Drosophila melanogaster: one gene and its partners. The protein of the gene in region 1 interacts with the protein of each later gene in a pairwise test. Each region holds a gene or a part of one and is shown on either strand. Other genes may lie near its edges. The genes, in order: Pdha, dmrt93B, fd59A and Pabp2.

The links.
Region 2: the proteins of Pdha (region 1) and dmrt93B interact in a two-hybrid assay, tested with the Drosophila melanogaster proteins (one large-scale study listed by BioGRID).
Region 3: the proteins of Pdha (region 1) and fd59A interact in a two-hybrid assay, tested with the Drosophila melanogaster proteins (one large-scale study listed by BioGRID).
Region 4: the proteins of Pdha (region 1) and Pabp2 interact in a two-hybrid assay, tested with the Drosophila melanogaster proteins (one large-scale study listed by BioGRID).

What each region holds. Positions count from the first base shown.
Region 1 is NC_004354.4:4,700,540-4,705,779, reverse strand, and holds Pdha (pyruvate dehydrogenase E1 alpha subunit), read right to left. Parts: upstream 3,456-5,240; 5' UTR 3,249-3,455; coding exon 3,189-3,248; exon of another isoform or gene 3,089-3,188; coding exon 2,888-3,088; intron 2,226-2,887; coding exon 1,661-2,225; intron 1,586-1,660; coding exon 1,263-1,585; intron 1,193-1,262; coding exon 1,010-1,192; 3' UTR 515-1,009; downstream 1-514. Other genes in the region: CG7024 (uncharacterized protein), read right to left, coding at 94-216.
Region 2 is NT_033777.3:21,072,131-21,077,329, forward strand, and holds dmrt93B (doublesex-Mab related 93B), read left to right. Parts: upstream 1-1,876; coding exon 1,877-2,131; intron 2,132-3,680; coding exon 3,681-4,202; intron 4,203-4,467; coding exon 4,468-4,668; downstream 4,669-5,199. Other genes in the region: r-l (rudimentary-like), read right to left, coding at 359-875, 936-1,088; HHEX (hematopoietically expressed homeobox), read right to left, coding at 4,784-5,199.
Region 3 is NT_033778.4:22,866,580-22,871,208, reverse strand, and holds fd59A (forkhead domain 59A), read right to left. Parts: upstream 3,051-4,629; 5' UTR 2,708-3,050; coding exon 2,355-2,707; intron 2,035-2,354; coding exon 1,017-2,034; 3' UTR 503-1,016; downstream 1-502. UniProt on the Drosophila melanogaster protein: Involved in development during embryogenesis.
Region 4 is NT_033778.4:8,129,414-8,134,906, reverse strand, and holds Pabp2 (Pabp2), read right to left. Parts: upstream 3,477-5,493; 5' UTR 3,184-3,476; intron 2,987-3,183; 5' UTR 2,874-2,986; coding exon 2,775-2,873; intron 2,518-2,774; coding exon 2,116-2,517; intron 1,966-2,115; coding exon 1,832-1,965; intron 1,767-1,831; coding exon 1,727-1,766; 3' UTR 1,699-1,726; exon of another isoform or gene 1,430-1,698; intron 1,293-1,429; 3' UTR 533-1,292; downstream 1-532. Other genes in the region: Obp44a (Odorant-binding protein 44a), read left to right, coding at 11-397; CG42516 (uncharacterized protein), read left to right, coding at 3,763-4,215; Pbp49 (PSEA-binding protein 49kD), read left to right, coding at 4,279-5,412. UniProt on the Drosophila melanogaster protein: Involved in the 3'-end formation of mRNA precursors (pre-mRNA) by the addition of a poly(A) tail of 200-250 nt to the upstream cleavage product.

The DNA of each region.
Region 1 (5,240 bases):
AATTCAAAATGAAAAATATAACTTTTACGATATAGCTTTTTTCAATGGTATTTACTTATCCATTGACCTTCTTGTGATAATCAAAACACTTACGTTCTCCAGGGTCAAACAGCTACATTTGTGGCGCCCTATTATCCTGCAGAGCATATTTCTCTCGAGGATGGAGTGGGCTCCACTGCATCTCATCGCCACGCGGACACAACTGAACTTCATCATTGGCCCTTGCCCGAATACCAATTCCCAAACACCGGGGCACTAAAATGAGCTTGTAGCCAAATGGGCAATTGCCACGCACTAAAATTTTGAATATGATCGGAAATTGTTGAAAAATGGATTTGTACTCAACCGAAAAGAAATCGACAGTAAAATCATAAGCAAATCGACAGAGATGGCAACTGTCACTAAACAGAACGAGAAGGAAATATAACGATTTTGGGATTGCTTATGGAGCTGACAACTGCTCCTTTTCAAATACTACTTTGATTCGAACTGTAATTCTTCCACAAATCGAATTATCTATTAAATCTATTCCGTTTATTAATATCTTATAAATCTATCAAAATTCTATAGTGCAAGTATAGGTGAAACAGACTGAGATTTTCACATTTCAAAAGTACATACTTGATTCACTTTTGTTAAGAAAACTAATTTGGATTAATTTTTCTAGATTTTTATATTTTCAACAATTTACACCTCGCTTTATCCTTATTGAACACGTTCGCAATATAATATCCAATGCAGTACCCCAGAGTTATGTGGTGCGCTACGATGTGTGGTTGGAGTGCTCCGATTAGCTAAGCTTTTTGTGGGTCTCTTCGGATCCGTTCCGTTCTACGGGGTTCTCATCGTTCAACTTTCGGCTTATGATCTAGAGATTTCGCTTGTGTCCAAGTTTCTGAGTTATTGTGTCTTCTTGTCTGTCTGTCAGTGATTTGTGTTTGCTGTTCGGTTTTCTTGTTTCGTTTAAGGTTCTTGTGAGTTCCCGAATCAGATTCGTTGGCCCGATGACTTAGTGATTGACGCCCTTGCGCTCCTGGATGTGATCAATATCGTAGGCGATGGTGCCGCGCAGCTTGGGCTCCAGATTGTTGGAGTACACGTCCGTCCAGAGGTGGCTCACGCCCAGCTCGGCATCGGACTTGGCGAAGGCGGTGGCCTCGTCGACCTCCTTGCGTACCTTCAGATCGATGGCCTGGAAGATGTTTTTTTCTTTTAGCAATCATAACTCATAACAAAAATAAAACCCTATAAGCCAAACCCACCTTAACTTCATCGGTGGTAATCAGACCCAGCTCGATGCACAGCTCCTTGAAGGAGGTGATGGGATCACGCTTCTGGCGCACCTCCTGGATCTCCTCGCGTGTGCGGTACGATGTGCCCGGATCGGACATGGAGTGTCCAGAGTATCGGTACGTGTTCGTCTCCATCACCAAAGGTCCGTGAGTGTTCACATAGTTGATGGCGAACTCGGTGGCGCTGCGCACGGCCAGCACATCCATGCCGTCCACCCAGATTCCGGGCAGAGCGTCGCCGCGGGTATAGTAATCAGTGTTGCAGGAAGCACGCTCAGAACTGGTGCCCATTCCTAATGGGTATAATTATACAACATTTGGTTTAAGTAAATATCTTTTAGCATTGTTCCACTTTCTACAGCACTCACCGTAGTTGTTGTTCTCGCAGACAAAGATCACAGGCAGTTTCCACAGGTAGGCCATGTTGTAAGCCTCGAACACCTGTCCTTGATTGGCGGCACCATCACCGTAGAGGGCCAGGCACATGCCGCCATTGCCCTTGTACTTGCAGGCCAAGCCAACGCCGGCACCCAAAGGAACTTGAGCACCCACGATGCCATTGCCTCCGTAGAAGTTCGGTGCGTACATGTGCATGGAGCCACCCTTGCCGCGGGCACAGCCACCCTGGACACCGGTGAGCTCAGCCAGTACGCCGCTGGGTGAGACGCCCATCAGGTAGGTCCATCCGTGGACACGGTACGCCGAGATGATGTTGTCCACATCCCGCATCGCCGCCTTCATGCCAACGGCGCATGCCTCCTGGCCGGAATACAGATGACAGAAGCCGCGAATGATCTTCTCCTTGTACAGATTACCGGCGGCCGTCTCCAACCGACGGATCGTCTGCATCTGTGTGTAGTACTTGAGGGCCTGATCCTTGGTCAGCTTCACTTCCGTGGCGGGTCCTTCGTCCAGGCGGTGCAGCTTGAAGGGCTGCAAAGTTGGAAAGCATATTTAGAATTTAGATCCCTAAACTTCATTAATTTTAAAAACGTTTTCTACTTTTACATTAACAACTGACACACACATCTGATAAGAACGTAACGGAAACGTTTGGAACGCATGATAAGTAATAAAATGATAGCAGTTTGATTGGATAAACCAAATAACCATAGGCTTCAAGCTTCTCTAATCAAAGTATACTAATCTATAGAGAGCTATAACCACATATCGAGGATTTTCGGAAGTATGCTCCAAAAACCAAATTTGGATTTATGGCGGCTAATTTATGGCGTGAGAATCGACGTAAACAGAGAGCCAGACAGACAGACGGAGAGAAAGAGAGAGAGGGTGAAAATCGGCGGATCGTTGATAAGACTATATGTTATATGGTGCGTGAACAGTCACGCGTCGGCCACGCAAAAGGCAGACGGTGATAAAGAGCGTGGGAGACGGAAAACTACAAATTACTGCGTGACCTTGTCATTTGAAAATGAGCGGATTGACCGGCAAAATGCAACCCTGCACTTACACACACACACACACACACGCAAACCGTTTGCTATCTGGCGAAAATCGCATTATGTAACCGTATTTTTTCCCTTCCGACTTTTGAATTTTCCTGAGTTACAAGTACTTAATGCTATAATACGCACCCGATTCACTTGAACGGTGGCCTCCGTGGCATAATTGTTGGTTTTCGAAACACCTGCTTGGGCTGCATTCTGGAATAAACCGAAAAACGACGATGAATATCTCCCATTCCTGATGATATCGATGCTGCTGTTGTTGTTGTTGTTGCTAAGTATCCGACATCCGCTGATGATGATGTTGTTGTTGTTGTTGTTATGGCAACGCTTTTAGTGTTTTCATTATCGAATGGATTTGTTCAATTGCATTTTTAGTGACAACAATTAGAAATGTTAGTGGGTGCAAAGCGGGATTGGGATTACGTACTTTTTGCAGTTGCTTAACAATAATGGGCAATTCGCTAACGCGTGACAGAGTACGCAACATTTTCGCTGTGTTATTCTCGTTCGACTGACAGAAATTGGATGTGAATGGGGGCTTTCTATATGCGGATTGTCCGGATCTAGAATCGCACGCTATATATCTGGTGTCTCAGTCGCACCGCCGCGCGTCGTTGTAAGTTAAACAATCGGAAAAAAAGGTAGCGAGATTAGTTTATCAACTACTATATTGCACAACTATAACAACCGTTTGGCGTTATAGCGAAAAATAACGCACCACTTGGCCTATTAGTGTGACCCTAAATAAAATACTGCAGCTTTCCCTGTTTTCAAAAAATACTAAATTAGCTTATCGAACTTTCTTTTTCAATATAACTTGAAATATAAATGTTTACGTAAAATATTCAATAAGCTTTTATATAATGTGTCACACAATGTTATATCAAAATAATAGTAGTGTTTGGCGGTTATTGAAATACTCGAATAAATACTTACTCAATCACATTTTATATTACTTTGCCGCCCAAATAAAACGAGGGTTTTCAAAGAAGTACTTTTATTTCACATTGAAGATCTCATTTGGTTTTTGTTTGCTTTCTCATTTCTTACTCGTATTGTTACTTGAAATTGCCTCCATAAATCCACATTTGCGATTGCAGTTGCAATTGCAATACTGCTCTATATCGCACTCAGCTCACATAATTCACTAATCTCTTACAAAAACTTAAGTAATGTTTGTTCCTTGCACAAAAAACCAGTTAAATAGAAATAGGTAAAGTAGAATTAAACAGTTAAATTCAAATAAACGCTTTACAAACTAAGATTTTAAACTAGTTTTTGTATTTGTTGGTTTCTCGGTTTGTTGTTTCATTTTTTTTTTTTTGCTTTAGAAATGGCAGCTAAAAGATTTGAGTTTAAAAGTTACTAACGGAAAATGAGGAAATGGATCGATCGTTTGGGAAAAACTAAGCGAATGAAATAAATTTTTTACTTTCTTTTATCTATCTTTTGCTCTGTTACCGTTACACATATTCAATTTTTCGCGCGTTTTTCTGTTACATCAAAAATTGGTTTCTCACACAAATATTTTGCATTATGACAAAAAATTATGCTTTGCTTTGTTTTTTGTTTTGTTTCATATGTATACATGTACATGTATATATATATATATTTGTATGTATAAACACTTATTAGAAGTCCTGTTGTGTTTTTGTTTCCTTTCCCGTTAGAAATCCGGCATTCCGATTATAAGAAAAAAATTTAGTTTTTCTCTTCGTCTTCTTGTTTTTGCGAGTGCTTGTGTGTGTGTAAGTGGGGGAGGTGTGTGTGTGTGTGGGTGAGAGAGAGAGAGGAGGTTCTATCTTACCGTTAGCATAAATAGTTTTGTGTCTACGCAAAAACGTGCTGAGCAATAATCTAAAACGCAATAGCTAAAGAGAGAGAGGTGCTGTATGTGTGTGAAAAGTAACGGTAAATGTGTGTGATTTCTGCATATGTCTTCTGTTGTTTTCAGGAAATTACGTATTAAGCTTCTTATTTTTTTTGGTTGTTTTTAGTAGGTTTTACTTAGGTTCTTGCTTAATTTACACCAATGTTTACTTTATTTTGTATTTCTTGCATGAATATATATATTTACTTTTTGGTTTCCTTGTTTCTTATTACTGTTCGCTTTCATTCCTTGAAATTTGCCTTTAAATTGTTACTGTTCTTCTGTTTTATATAACATAAATCCGATTCGGAGAAACACATAGCACACACTTATATAAACGACAAGATGATAATTATTTATTTTGTCTTTGCTTTTGCTTTCGACTTTCTCCGCCTTTTTGTTTTATTACTGCTTGCACACCACCCTCATGACCTCCCTAACCTGGTTTTGACCTAGAAAGTCTTAGTTTTAAAATTCATTAGAATAATCAAATAAATAATAATTACTATGTTATATCAACTATTATAATTCTCCCTATCTTTTTTAGGATTAAAAATCTGTTAGTCTTAAGTAACCAAGACACATTGTAAAATAAAATAATTTAAGCAG
Region 2 (5,199 bases), on another chromosome or scaffold:
TACATCTCATCAAAGCGCCATAAACGAAATGTGATTATTTATAGAAGATGGGCTTGATTGAAGGAGCAGGCTGGCTCTCGAGTGGGCTGATAAGCGTGGTGGCATAATTGAGTGCGGACCGGACACTGCCCTGAATCAGAATCACGTGCCGCATTCCCGGGAATGATCCGGTCCGATAGTGGAATCCAGATCGGCCTACCGCCGTTTATGGCGGTTGTATAACTTTATAGTAGCGCGACTGGAGCGCTCCCTAATTGAATTTGTTCGAGGCCATGTGCTGGCCGAGTGTCATGTACTTATTATCTATCTATGCATCTATCTATCTGGCAGATATCACGGGGATCTGGAGCATACGCACCTCTGACAACGTCGCCCTTATCGCCGCCGACGAAGGTACCATCGCTGTTGATTTGCACGGCGGCGATGTACTTGGCCACCGCCTCCACTGTGGACTTCTCGATGCGCCCGGCCTCGTGAAGTGTGTTCAGCAGAAAGGAGAGCGTGAAGAGCGAGTGCATCCGCACGCCGTGCTTGGCGATGTTGGCCACTCCGCCCTGCTCACGGTCTACGACGACCACGGCGTCGGTGACCACAATGCCCTCGCCTTGCAGATCCCGCACCGTGTCCAGGATGCTGGAGCCGGAGGTGACCACGTCCTCGACAATCAGACAGGTGTCGCCAGCATTGAAGATGCCCTCGACCAGCTTCTTGGTGCCGTACGCCTTGGCCTCCTTGCGCCGCACCAGCATGGGAGTTCCCTGCTGCACGGACACAATGGTGGCCAGCGGGAGCGCCGTGTAGGGAACACCGCACACGTGTTTGGCGCTCAGCTGCTTGTCCTTGATGTGTTCCACCAGCAGGTCGGATACGGTTTGCTGCGGGAAGACCAAGTTAGCTACTGCCATTGACATGGAGCACTAATCCCAAATACTGACCATCACATCCGGATAACTGACGATCACTCGGAGGTCGAAGTAGACCGGCGAATTTATGCCCACTTTCATCTTGAAGTCGCCGAACTTGAAGGCATTGATCTCGAAGAGCTTCAGGGCCAGGGCCCGCATTTTGTCGGAGTTCTGGGCAACCATGCTGGCAATTCTAAATCTCGATCTTAATTCTTCACACACGTGCTAGCTAGGCTCCAATAAGAACCGTCCAATTGGGAGTCTACGCTTTTTAAACATGCTGCCAGTGTGCACGTATCTGCTGTGACATTGGGGCACATTTCGAACACCCTAATTAAGGTACAAGTTCTGGTTGCGCCGCCTGGGTGGTTAACTTCGCTATGCCGCCAAACTTATCGAAGTTCAAATTATTATAAATGTCGTAGATTTTATCAACATTGGCTTCGAATTAATAAACGTTTATTATTAGTTATAGGGTAACAAAGTAGCATAAGTGTTAAGGTTTTGAAATAAACTATTTTGCATGTGAAATATTTCCCAAATTCATAAAATATATAACCTTTAGTTTCTGAGAAGTCTTAAGAAATTTCAAGGAAATGAATGGATGGATTATATACAATATTTTGTCCGCTGCATTGCTGTATTGTTCACTACTTAGCATTTGTAATCTGAAAGCTTTGGCTCCGCCCACAAACCCTTGACTGCAACTTCAAGGGGAGGAGTCTAGTCATTTTGCAACCACCAATGACAGTCCTGTAAGCTCATATTGCAAAATGAAAGCCAAAGCGCCTGCGTAAGTCAACAAAGTTTGCGCCATTCATTGAAACAATTCCAGATCCTTTGGCGCGTGTTTCCAAAATTTAGTTTCTTTTCGCTGGTCTCCAAATAAGTCGCAAATTTGTGCTCCAAAAGCGGCAACTTCTTAGTCGAAAAATCGGTTTTCTCTCAATCCATTTCTCGCCTGCGTTGCGATGGCCAGTTCAAGTGGTGAACCTGCTGATGAAGTGGCTAATAAGCGTCCTCGTCTTGTGGCTAATCCCAAGGCCACCAAAATAGTTGAACCCACACCGGCCAAGGTCACCAATCGGGTGCCCAAGTGCGCCCGCTGCCGGAACCATGGGATCATTTCAGAGCTGCGGGGTCACAAGAAGCTCTGCACCTACAAGAACTGCAAGTGCGCCAAGTGTGTCCTGATCTTTGAGAGGCAGCGGATCATGGCCGCTCAGGTAAGTTAGGATTTATATGCACGATGACAAGCAATCCTTTCTGCTTAATTGGCAATCATTGACATTACTATCCTCATTTTATGATTACTGCCCACTTGCTAACTTTAATGTCATCTATCCTGGATGGTAAAATCGCTATCCCAAAAATAGCTTTTTAAAAATTCGGTGCATTCGAATACAGAAAATTGCCTGGTTAGATCCATCCATAGACATCCAAACCATCCAGACCAGATATATTGCTCTAACATTCGGAGACTTTATTCCCAGTCCTTTAGAAAATTTCTTCTTGTAAAAACATATTCCCTTTATTAGCATTTACTTAAAATGACATATCAAATATTCTCAAAAGCCAAAAGTTTTCTAAAATAACTTCAGGATATTAATGTATAAATGTATAAGCATAAACGTAATTGTGTTTCATGTTGTATTGTTCGCAATGGATTCCGTGATCGATTTTTACTAGGTATAACTTTGAAACCCAATTTAAGCCTTTCGATTATAATTTAACTTGATTAATGTCACTGTTATATTTATAATTTACTAACCTGGGACGACAAACAAAAACACCTATTAGCAAGGGGAGCTTAAATTAACAATAGCACCGAAAACTCCGACATTTTCTTATATCGTGTTTTGTGACTTTGAATAACATTTTGGAAACATTAATTATTTTGGATTTCTGCGAAAATTGTTTTTTACAAATGATGTAAAAGAACTGTTAATAGGAAATACCTTTCCAACATATAGCACGTTTAACTTAAGTCGTTCAAAAATGGTGTGCGCGGAATATATAGCTGATCCAAACATCTTAGGAGACTTTCAATAACACGGTTTATTATAGTAGCAAATGCAATAGAATATAGATTATTATGTCCATATATTATATTGGAATGCAGATTATATTCCAGCCTGCCGTCGCTGTAATTCCAACACACAAGTTCAGAATCAACTCAATTCAAGAATAATTCAACAATTCAACATAGAAGGTGGATAGTTTTCCCAGCTATTTGTATCTGGCACATAATATGTAAGCCACCCCATCCGGATTCAATCAATCTGTGTAACTGAATTCAATTGCCAGCTTTCTTGGAAAAATAGTTAGCAATGCCATTTATATTGTGTTTAGATTAAGCGCTGGCCAAGTTCTCAATTCGAAACACAAATAGCCGATGGACACACCCCACTCCAGTGCCAAGTCAAACAGCCAATGAAACGGAATACGGGGAACAACTCCAAGCAGAACAAGGACAACCAGTCCTCCCCTTTAGACGATGACGATGATGGTGATGATGGAAAGTTGTCAAGGCGTAGGAACAAATCGACCAAAATATCCGCTTACCGAAACTGTTTGCACAAGTGTGTCTACGTCTCGCATTTCATTAGATCGCTGTGGATGAGCTAGGATGTGCTAGGATGTACTAGGATGTGCTAGGATGTGGGTGATACCCCAAGGAATTGCTGTGGCCTTTGTTTGCGGTTAAGTCAAACAGCAGCAAACGGACCAAGATGTTCACTTGTCGCATATTAATTTCCATTTGTGGGCTTTCAGGTTGCCCTGAAGCGCCAGCAGGCGGTGGAGGATGCGATTGCCATGCGGCTGGTGGCCAACAAGACGGGTCGTTCCATCGATGCACTGCCGCCAGGCAACATCTTCGGTCTGACCGTCACGCAGCCTAGTTCGCCGCGTGCCAAGCGGGAGGATGATCAGGTGGAGAAGACCATTTCGGAGGTGGAGCAGCAGCATTTGAAGCAGAGGGAGGAGGAGTACAGCGAATCGCCGGCGGTGGCGCAGGATCTCAGTGCTCCCCGAAGAGATAACGTCTCCCAAACGGCCATTGACATGCTTGCCCAGCTCTTTCCGCAGCGTAAGCGATCTGTCCTGGAGTTGGTCCTCAAGCGCTGCGATCTCGATCTGATTCGGGCCATTGAGAATGTCTCGCCCACTGGCAAGTCCTCGCCAGTGGATGTCACCAGCAACCAGTTGCCCAGCCAGGAGCCGGGCATGTTGACCACTATGCCACAGCCCGCGCCGCCCAGGAGCAGCGCCTTTAGGCCCGTGATAACAGATCAGGTAAGCGACCTAACTGCATAGTGCAAATTGTATAAAGTACCTTTTAGTTATAAGTGTACTTAAGTGAATATACCGGTTATTTCTATAGTATTATATTCTATAGTATACAGCAAATCTGTAACAGGTGTTTTGTGTTTTTACTTAAGTTCAACGGTCTGTATTTCCGCTTCCAGAATTCAATCAAGTCACGATTTGCGTGGTCCATGGAAGTAGGAAGTACCTAATGAAATATTTATTTAAGTACATACAAAATCTTACCTTTCAGTACCAGAGCAAATCGGTGGTGGAGCTAAAGCCGCCGGTCTTTGGAGGCAGTGCATCAGCGGCGGCGGCAGCGGCCATTTGTGCGTACCCCAAGTGGTTTGTGCCGCTATCCTTTCCGGTGACCATGGGTCACCTCTCCAATCTGGCGCCAAGATGCACCTTGCCCAATTGCGCCTGCTTGGACAGCTACCAGTTCCACTAGGAGACCACCCATCTAGTACTTACTAACTCGCATAACTATAGTTCTAATAAAATAAATTTATTTATCCTAACTACAAGCTAAACTAACTTATGAGTCAATGGGCCATCCTCTAGCTTCACTTGGGCGTCTCATCCGCCTCGCCTTCGTCTTCGTCGTCGTCCTCATCGTCCTCGGACAGATACATCCGATCCTCCTCGTCGCTTTGTTGGCCACACCTGCTTCCGCTGCCAAGATTCAACACGGGAACACTGCTGCTCGAGGCGCTGGAGGGTGATCCCACGGCAGCGCCTGCTATGGGTCCTTGGGCGGATGCACTGCGCTTGCTGAGATTGGCTCGTCGCCACTTGGCGCGCCGGTTCTGAAACCAGGTCTTCACCTGGCGGTCGGTCAGCTTGAGTTGGAGGGCCAGATGACGCCGTTCCTCCGGCGACAGGTACTTGGAGCTGGCGAAGCGAGCCTCGAGATTTTTGGTCTGCTGGGAGGTGAATCTGATCTGGCCGCCTTTTCGCTTCACGCCGAAGTTCGACATGT
Region 3 (4,629 bases), on another chromosome or scaffold:
TATCTTCGGCGGCACACTGTTGTCCCGCTGCCAGGCGCAGCTTTTCATGTTTTAACACTGGAAGCCAACGGGACGCTCGTGGGAGAGCGGAGCTTTCGTTTGGTAGCGCCGAACTCCACGGCGTTCTATGGCGGCACAACTACGTCCTGCGCCAAATCAGCTGAGCGATGGTCACTGCGCAGGCGCTAAAGCTGAACTGATTTCCAGGCAGGGGTGCCACACCTGGACAGGTTTGCTGGGCGGTAAATTCAAATAACTCGGGGTGTTTTATTGCAAACAAAAGGTAACAAAACGTCGAAAAGAGGGATCCCTTTAAGGATATTATTACAAGGAAGAGAGTGGCCACATATAATAATATAATTATAAAAATAATACAATATTACAGGTATCAATAGGATTAAAAATTAATATTTAGTATACTACAAACATATTAGTAACATGCTGTAGTAGCTGTAGTAACAACACGTATATCGGTACCTACCAGTCAAACATGTATCCGTGTAAACTATTATTATGTTGTTGTTTATTCAATTTTCAATAACATCAGCAAAAATCTTAGTCTAATTTATAGTTAATAGTGTTCCTCTTGCTTGGATGTGTTACAGTTACACGCAGACGCACACGCACACACATACACATGATTAGTACTTGCATGGTAGATATAGGTCTAGAACCTGAAATCCCGACTCCAGACCCCAAGAATTCGTGTTAAAAGTATACTATAGACGTGCGATGCTTCAGATTTACATAGATATTACGCGCAGATATATGTTTAGTACGTAAGTGGACTGGCAACTATAGCGTTGACTTCGATTTGGTCGCATTTAAAAACTCGTGTGCTGGCTCCTACATCCTACGGATACACCTACTGATCACTACTTGCTGCTCGGATTGGATTCCTGGGGATTGCTGGTGGTGGTGTTAGTGGGCTGTTAAAACGTGCTTAGATCGAAACTGAAATCACCGTTCAATGGACTGTACACAAGCCAATTGGTTCAAGCGAGTGGGAATCCCGCCTAGTCGCTGGTCTCCTCCTGGCTGCCACCGCGATGCAGGTGGTGGCCAATCAGCGTCTCGATGCGAAAGTCCTTGGCGCTGCTCTGTTTGCTGGTCCGCAGAACCAGGGGCTCGCTATCGAAGCGTCTCCTTGGACTTGAATCGGACGCCTCGGCAGAAGCCTCAAAGATCAACGCTTCCGGCGGCGCATCCAGGCGATTTGTACAGGCGCTGTCCACCGAGTCCGAGATATGTGAGTCCTCCTGCTCATTGCCGCTCTCCACGTCGATCTTGTCCTCGCATGAGTCGTCATCTCCCTCGGCTTCCGCATCGGCCTCTGTGTCCGCATCGTCATTGTACACATTGAGATCCATGTAACCACCGCCGGCGGACAGTCGTTCTGCGTAATCCCTGTGGCCGGGAATGCCCGCAGCACTGGCCACAGTCGCCACATCGAAGGCGTATGGGCTTTTGTACTTGGAGCCACGGCTGCTCTCGGATCCCCCGCCCACTCCTCCGCCGGAGCCACTGCTGTGCGGTAGTGCATCCAGGACATCCGCTCCTCGACCGCGATTCATGAAGGGCAGCCGGTCGAACTTGTCCCCCGACTGACTTCCCTGGTAGAAGGATGCTTCGGCATTCGCAAAGAAGTTAAACTTCTTGTCCGCTCGCAGCGCTGAGTCAAAGACATCCGCCGGATTGTGGACCACGTCGAACTCCCTGCTCCCATTGAAGTTGGGCACGTTGAAATGCACTGGCACGAGGGGCACGGGCTTGCGTATCCAAAATGGAGACAGCGTGCCAAAGACCGCCGGAAACGAGAAGCGTTGCATGGTGGGCGCCCGTTTGTAGCGCTTCCGCCGGCGCAGGAAACTGCCGTTGTCGAACATGTCCTCCGCCAGCGGGTCCAGCGTCCAGAAGTTGCCCTTTCCGGGATTTCCCGGCTCGCGGGGCACCTTTATGAAGCAGTCGTTCAGGCTGAGATTGTGCCGGATGGAGTTCTGCCAGGCGGGGAATTTGTCCTTGTAGTATGGAAAGCTACAAGTAAAATGCACAAGTTATTTAACATTTTTTCGAGGAATTTTTTTTAAAGAATTTGGTTGTTTATCTAGATCACTTACATTGCAATCAGTAAATAAAATATCACATTTTAAAATTTATAATTTTTGAAATCGATTAAAGCACTGAATGTCTCTTCTTTTCTATGTTTTCAATTGAAATTTTATAGGATTTATTTATTTTTATCGTCTTTACAAACTACTACTTTTATTCTCTTTTTCTGATGTTTTAAGATAACTTGGAAAAAATCAAACTATTGCTTCTTCATTTAAGGATATTAACTTTGCTGGCAAACTCACCGCGACATGATGAAATCGCAGATCCCGCTGAGCGTGAGCTTCTTGTGCGGTGACTGAAGAATGGCCATGGTGATTAGAGCTATGTAGGAGTATGGTGGCTTTACCAGGGGACCACCCGAAGATCCCGAGCCGTCTCCGTTGCCGCCGGCGGCACCACTTCCGCCCATGGACGACGGCTCGATGTCGCTGTCGTCGCAGCCCATGGACATGGCATCTGCGGCGGCAGTGCGCGAGGACGCACTGCATCCGATTCCGTTGCCGATGGAGGAGCCGCCTCTGGAGCTTTTGATGAGCGGCGGCGAGAGGGAGACGCTGTCGTGCAATGTGTGCATGGGATCCGTGCTGGTGTGCATGTCTTAGCGGGTATACACTGTAGTCTATTTGAGTCCGCGAATTGGACTCACTAAATTTAGAGGACGCAACACTGTTATTTAACTATTTTGCTCAGGAACTGTGTTCGTTTTGGCGTTTCACTTGCTTCACTTGGCATTTGCATATGCTTTTCGATTCAACTTGGAATTTGATATTTTCTTTTCTATTTCCGCTTCCGTTAACCGTTCGCTGTTACCGTCGTTTCCGGTTTAGCTGCTAGGATAAACTGTACATATGGCCAGCAGTGGTGTGGAAAGTGGAAAGTTGGCTAGCGCCTAGTCCGTCGTCGCGTCCGTTGAAGGCGGAATCCGCTGGCCAAATGTTAACTGAATCGCAACGAAAACGAAAATCTTCTCGCCCAAAATGTTTTTCTACATAACTCAAACATTTATTTATGAAAAACCGCTGCCATTGCCGCTGCCGCTGACGTTTCCCTGAGCTTTTGTGTCGCCGTTGCTGTGTTTTCGTATCTCGAATAACTGTGATTCTACTGCCGACGTCGCCGTTGGCGCGGGCAGAGCATCCTGACGGCATCCTGGCAGCATCCTGGCTGCGCCCCGACAGCATCGCAGCAGAGGGAGAGAGAGCAAGAGAGCCCGGCCAAGCCTCTCTTTCTAGCGGGGGATGGGTTGATATCCTGCGAACCAATCTATGCGAACTAGCTCGTGCCATCCCTCTCCCACTCGCTGCAAGTCCTCACAAAATGGTGGAGAGCCCTGGCTGTAAATGCGATATTTGTGTTTTCCTCTCTCCAAGCGGCGGCAAATTGGCAGCGACTGCAGAAGCCAACGAACGCGGCGGTGGGGGGGATAAACATTTTGCGCAAATTTAGATACCTTTTGCCGCTTTGACGTCGTGGCTCTTAATAATGTTTCATTATGTCAGCCACATGGAGGCAGGCGTCCTTTTCCCCTGCGGCCCTCCCTCGTCCTCGCACTCGCCCTGCCAACCACCACTCTGCTCCTCTGCCCCAAATGTTATGCTTCAAATGTTGGCATTTTTATGTGCGAATGTTTTTCTAACCGTATGTCGACGTTTCTTGGTTTCTCTCGGGCTCGCAATCTCATTCCCAGCCCTCTGTCCCTATGCACAGAAAGAAAAAAAAGAAAAGAATCTAATTATGTGTTTAATTATGTAAAGTCCAAATTCCACAAATCTTACTTAAGTTAAGTAACGAAGTTATAGGGACTTTTCTTTGCAGTTAGATAAGTAGAATTGTATTTATTTTCATAGGATATATTTTGTTGGTTATTCTAAGAACGATTAACTGAAATATGTATATAATACAATGTATTATTATTAAATACATTTAAAAAAAAAAAAAATGCATAGAACAGTTATGTCATTTTAGCAATGCGAAAAAACCGAAATAAAATATAATTTTAAAACAATACATACAATATACAATACATCTAATATAGATAATATTGGTTTTTTTTCTGTATATTTTATTTGGGTGTGGAAGTGAGATGGAATCAAATGCACCATTTTCACCAACATCCTCCGAGCACAATGGGGGCTACTAGAGTGAGAGAGAGAGAGCAGTAGAGTGGGTGGGACGGGAGGGGGTTGGACGTACATGTGTTTGCTGCATTTGTACTTGTATCCAAGTGAGTTTTGTACTATTTCTCTTTTTCATTTTCGCTGTTTTTGTTCTCCAGTTGTTAGACATTGTTGTTGTAGCCATTGTTGTTGTTCGCCATTCAGTGTTTGGAGCCTTCCCTTTTCAAATTAAACATTCAGTAGTCACTTTTATTTGTTGTACTTTGTTCAAATTAGTTTTCCAGTTTTGCGGAAGTTACCCACACACAACCAAACACTCACTCACACACACAGATGCATGGAAACAGACACGAATACAATAAGGGCCGCCATCTTCGAATTCAGAACCATATTGATGTCG
Region 4 (5,493 bases), on another chromosome or scaffold:
TCCTCGACAGGCCTCTGCCTCCGACTACAAGCTGCGCACCGCCGAGGATCTGCAGAGCGCGCGCAAGGAGTGTGCCGCCAGCAGCAAGGTGACCGAGGCCCTGATCGCCAAGTACAAGACCTTCGACTATCCCGACGATGACATCACCCGCAACTACATCCAGTGCATCTTCGTCAAATTCGACCTGTTCGATGAGGCCAAGGGCTTCAAGGTGGAGAACCTGGTGGCGCAACTGGGCCAGGGCAAGGAGGACAAGGCCGCGCTGAAGGCCGACATCGAGAAGTGCGCCGACAAGAACGAGCAGAAGTCGCCCGCCAACGAATGGGCCTTCCGTGGCTTCAAGTGTTTCCTTGGCAAGAACCTGCCCCTCGTGCAGGCCGCCGTCCAGAAGAACTAGGAGTTCAGCGCAGTTCCACATCAATTCTAGAAGCGAAAGATCAATCAACACGCAAGCAACGCGGCATTTTCGAGTTGAAATCCGCTCAGGCTCTGCAATCCTACGATTGAAATAAAACCATATAATAGTGCTTTTGAATGAAGAATGTTCTTTTTATTATTCACAATATTTCTGAGGGCTGGAAGAGAGGTAGGGCTGCTGGTGGTGGCAGGAATCAAGCTGTTACTCGCATCCTCAATCCCAAAAAACCTTGTCCCGCCCAAAGGAAAGGCATTGATAGCTTATTTAATTCGATTATATTTGTCTTCATCTTTTTCGCTTTAGTAAATTCAACTTCTTTTCTTATCTTCTCTTTACTCTATATATTTTTTTTTTAAATATATAAATTACACACGCACTTTTTATATATTTTGTTGATTTACTTCTTTCCCAAGAGTCTTGTGTTCTTTTGATTTTTTTTTTATATTTTCTTCCTTCTTTATTTGCTTTTGCCATCTTTTAACTTCTTTTATTTGGGGTTTGTGGTTTCTTTTGCGCTTCTTTTATATATACTTATTGTTGTATATACTTTTTTGTTTTTTAAATCAACTTCTTGTTTTTCATAATCTTTTTTTTTTTTTTGATGTTTTATTGAAAATTAAAATGTGTGAAAAGGGGGTGTTTGGTGTTGGGTGCTTCAAAAAACATTATAGCCAAGTCAAGATATTCGTTTTCCTTGTTGATTTTTTATTATTTTCGAGGTCTCTTCTTTTCGCCTGTTTTCTTGCTGCTGATGCATTTTTTATTGAAACGATATTTTTTCTGGCGTTTTCTGTTGCGATTGTTTTCTCTTTTTTATTTAGCAAAGAAGTTTGGCAATAAAATAATGTTTTTTGAAATTATATTGTAAAAAAATCTGAAATCAAATAGTTAATGGATTAAAGACGACAGTCGGTAAATCGAATGGAAGCATTATAATAAAACCCAACACGCTGCGAATGAGAGCAAGGTATTCCCATAAAGGGTTCGGAAAATTATTCTGTTTTTGACCATAAATTTGATTGTTTTTATTTCCCGTAATGATCTACCAGCTATGCAAACTAAATCTATTTAGCTCCATAAAAACAAACGGCATTTTCTAACAACTTAAATTTAACATAAAAAGACGTCCTCATTGGTTTTATAAATTTTAAGAAAAAAAATGTATCAAAATATAAGAGATAGATATCGGATTACTTTATGTAACCGACATAAATCGGACGCAACCCACACATATAAAATTTCAACTATCAATTATTTTCAGTTCGAAATTGTCAACTTACCTTACTAGGGATTTTAATAAAACAATAATCAGTAAGGAGCGTAGTAATTGGCGCGACCACGGTAACCCCTTCTGGAACGAAAGACAGACCGGGATTAGCTCGATCCAATCGGGATTTTCCAGAGCCCACTTACATAGCTCTTCGGGCGCCTCGGAAGGTGGAGTGACAGCACGCCCGGGAGACACGGGCTCCTCGACCCCGGAAGCTGCCGCGTGCGAAACGGTTTGTGGTGGAGAGTCCAGGGCGGTTTGTGCGCTTCGACATTACCTGAAAGTCAATAGATTAAGCTAAAGTCAACTCTAAATATGTGCTTTCAAAATTGCGCTACGTAGGAGTCCCTAGGACTCATTCTATCCACATATGTACATGAGAGTTTGATAGGTAGCAGGACTAGCAAAAAGTGCTTCAGATACTCACCTTTATTTGACGCCCTCGGAAGAGGGTTTCGTTCATGGCCAATGCCGTCTCGACAAACTCCTTGGAACCAAACTCAATGTATGCGAATCCCTTGGGGTGCCCGTCAGCCTTGTTGCAGAGTATGGTTACTCGGTTGATTGTGCCGCATCCGTGGAAGTGGGCCTCCAGTTCCTCGGCCGATGCGCCGTAGTCCACATTGCCCACGTAGACGGACCGCGTGTCGATTTCCTGCTTCTCCTCAAGAGAAAGCGGGACTGTGGCCAAGCCGGTGGTAGACCCACCGGCCATTTGTTTGTCCACCTCCGACTGCATCTGCTTTATCTTCTCGGCCTCCTCTTCCATCTCCTTGACTCGAGCCTTTATGGCCTCCAGTTCCGGGTCGATTTGCATGCTGCCCTCCTCCTGGCGACGAGGAAAATATGAAATTTAGTGGTATTTGATTTGGAGCGATGAGCAAACGCCCGAAACCACAGCAGACAATGGAATGGAGTGGCGGTGCGAAGTGACGCTCTGAAAATGGCAGCCATTGCTGCGGTTTTCGGCTTTGTATATCCCCCAAAGCTTTGCGAGCTTTTCCAGGGAATTCGGCGGGCTTTCGCAAGGCGTGAGGCCAAGAAACTGGTTCTTGGGCACTGTCTACAAGGGCAACCCCAACTCACCTCGACCTCTGTGGCGATCTCAGTCTCTTGCTCCCCGTTCGTCTCCTCCAATGACTCCAGGAGCTGATCCTCGTTCAATGTGATATCTTCATCGGCCATTGCTTTGGATTTGGGTTTGTTTACGTCTGCTACAAAAGCTCGGTTTTGTTGGCGCAAAAGCTTCCGGCGTGGTACTCAAAACGGCAGTTGTCGTAACTATGTATGTATGGTAGCTGTCAATGAGAAAAGGGCGGCGAAAGTGAGCATAAAGAGCGTAAAACATTAAGAGCGCGAATGAAGAGTTCATCATGCAAATGCAGTGAAAATCCAAGCCATAAGTAAATAAATTCAGGCTGCGGACACCGAAATGTCTAGGTTTCACTGCGTTCGCACTACTACACTGATATTTAATTAAACACACTGTACTTACGTTTAATAAATGTACAAATTACGAGCTCGTTCTGCTGACGTTGAGTTCGCCCAAAATGGCTGCCCTGTGAAAACACACGTACGCTGGGTTGCTGGGTTGCTGTTTTTCGTTCAAAAGTCTACGTTTTTAAACCCTTTTCGACTTTGTTTCGCGCCACACCACGTCAGCATAAATATTTATTTATAAGCTTATTTATTTATTATTTACTAATATTTACAACTATACGAAAACGTACGTAGTTTTTGACACAAATTGAAACAGATTTGTGTTCGCCTCGTTTTTACCGATGACAGTTTTCGCCTCGATAGTTTCGATGGTTTGGTGGTGGGTTTACCTATCGATAACTGCCGGTATTTAAGAAAGCAGTTCTTTGGATGATAAAAATAATAGTATTTTCACACCACAATGCCATTTTAAATTTACCATAGGAAGGAAAGAAGAGGAATGTGCACGCACATTTCTAACAAGGTTTTGTAAATGGGAATCAGACAAATTATTGTTTAAGGAAGTCATATATTGCGAAATAACGCCATCATTCAACCATCAATCAGGGCCCATGCATAACGATAAAAGGAGAACATGAACGATTCCTCCGATTCGGAGTACGAGGACACAGAGTACCTGGTATTTGCGGATTTCAAGAACCACATTCATCCGCACCAGCTGAAGCACGAGGACGCGGCCATTAAGATCATCGGAATCGAGAGTGACACGCCCATGGCCGAGGTAAATGGAAGCATTTATCGGGGACGCTACGAACATTCCGTGGGAACCAACGTGTTCTTTGAGAAGGAAAAAGACAATCTGGCAAGTGATCCGCTTTTTGAGTCAGTGTGTCGCCAGCGGTACCAGTACGTGGACAAATCCACCAAGGTGATATCTTTTGAAAGGGTCTACGTGGACAATTTGCACCAGGAGGTGGAGAAGTCGGCTGAGACTGAAGAGGACGATCAGACCGAGCCAAAGCCAGAATCTCTGAAGCTAAATATAACTTACAAGGAGGCTATTAACAAGTTTGGAGAAGATCATTGAGTGTGGAGAACTGAGTCTAATCCTGAACAAAAAACACTCTTTCAAGACATACCTCTTAGTACCATGGATACCACCTATATTACAACGAATCCAGCTTTAAGCCTGCGAGACTTTCTAGCCGACTATCAAAAGAAAATATCCGGTACTGCAGACGAAGTGCCCTTCTTTCTCCAAAAAAACCCAGTACTTGTCGACGTGTCTGAAAGCTGTTCCCTGGACTTGATCGAGTCCCCAGACGACAGCTCGATTGCAGTCTTCCAGCCCGCCGCAGACAAATGCCGCCCAACCTTTTCTCCGCCGCAGGAGAACCAGCATGTGCCCTCCACTTTTACTGCTCTAAGCCAGCACAAGGACAAGTCCCGTAAGTGTCCCTTTGGCCGCACCCAGTACAGCCACAAACTGAATCCGACGCCGACAGACTCGCCTAACCTGCACATCGATGCTTGCGGCGAACTGGAGCTAACCGTGCGTCTATATCGACCACCGCGGGCCTACCATCGCGGGTTTAAGGTGGAGATTCCCGTTTTCGCCGAGGAGTTCGTATGTCTGGGCAGCAATTATCTGACCGAGCTGCGGGACAAGATCAGCTGCGTTTGCAATGGAAAACGGTTTGTCGACATCAGCGACGATCCAGATGCACCGTTGCCATCCATTGACACAAATCCCGGTTACTTCTTCATCAACGACACATTCTACAACGACCAGCGCAATCCGGACAATCCCGACTATTCCAAGACCGTCTTGCAGTGGGCTGCCAGAGCGAACGGAGTGAACGGAGAAACGCTTAAGGTGGAGAGTATGGAGGGCAAAAGATTCATCGATCTCACTGTCAGCCCCGGATCACCGCTACACTACCTGCACCACGGCAATTGCGAACACCTGTTTGTGATCTCCCAGGTAGAGGTGCTAACGCCACTTAGTAAACGGCCAGATCGCAGCCTGTATCCCTATCCTCACGCCTTCAGTACGTTTAATCGCAGGACTTGCTATATGTGCGGCATTCGCAGCTATAGCTTCATCGTGAACCAGTCCCGGCGACAGCTGCACGATCCCTCCTACCTGTGCCGCAGATGTTTTCTCAGCTTCTTTTACGTGGATGGTGTCAAGCTGGGCCAGTTCAAAGCCTATCGCATGTATGACCATGTAGAGCTGGAGGGCGAAGAGGAGGACATTAAACAGCAAAATCTCCCCTCCTGAATATACATATACATTTGTGTGATTTTTTCTTTATTTGCGAGCTCCTTTGACTGCAAGATCGCTCAAGGAGTTGATTGATAT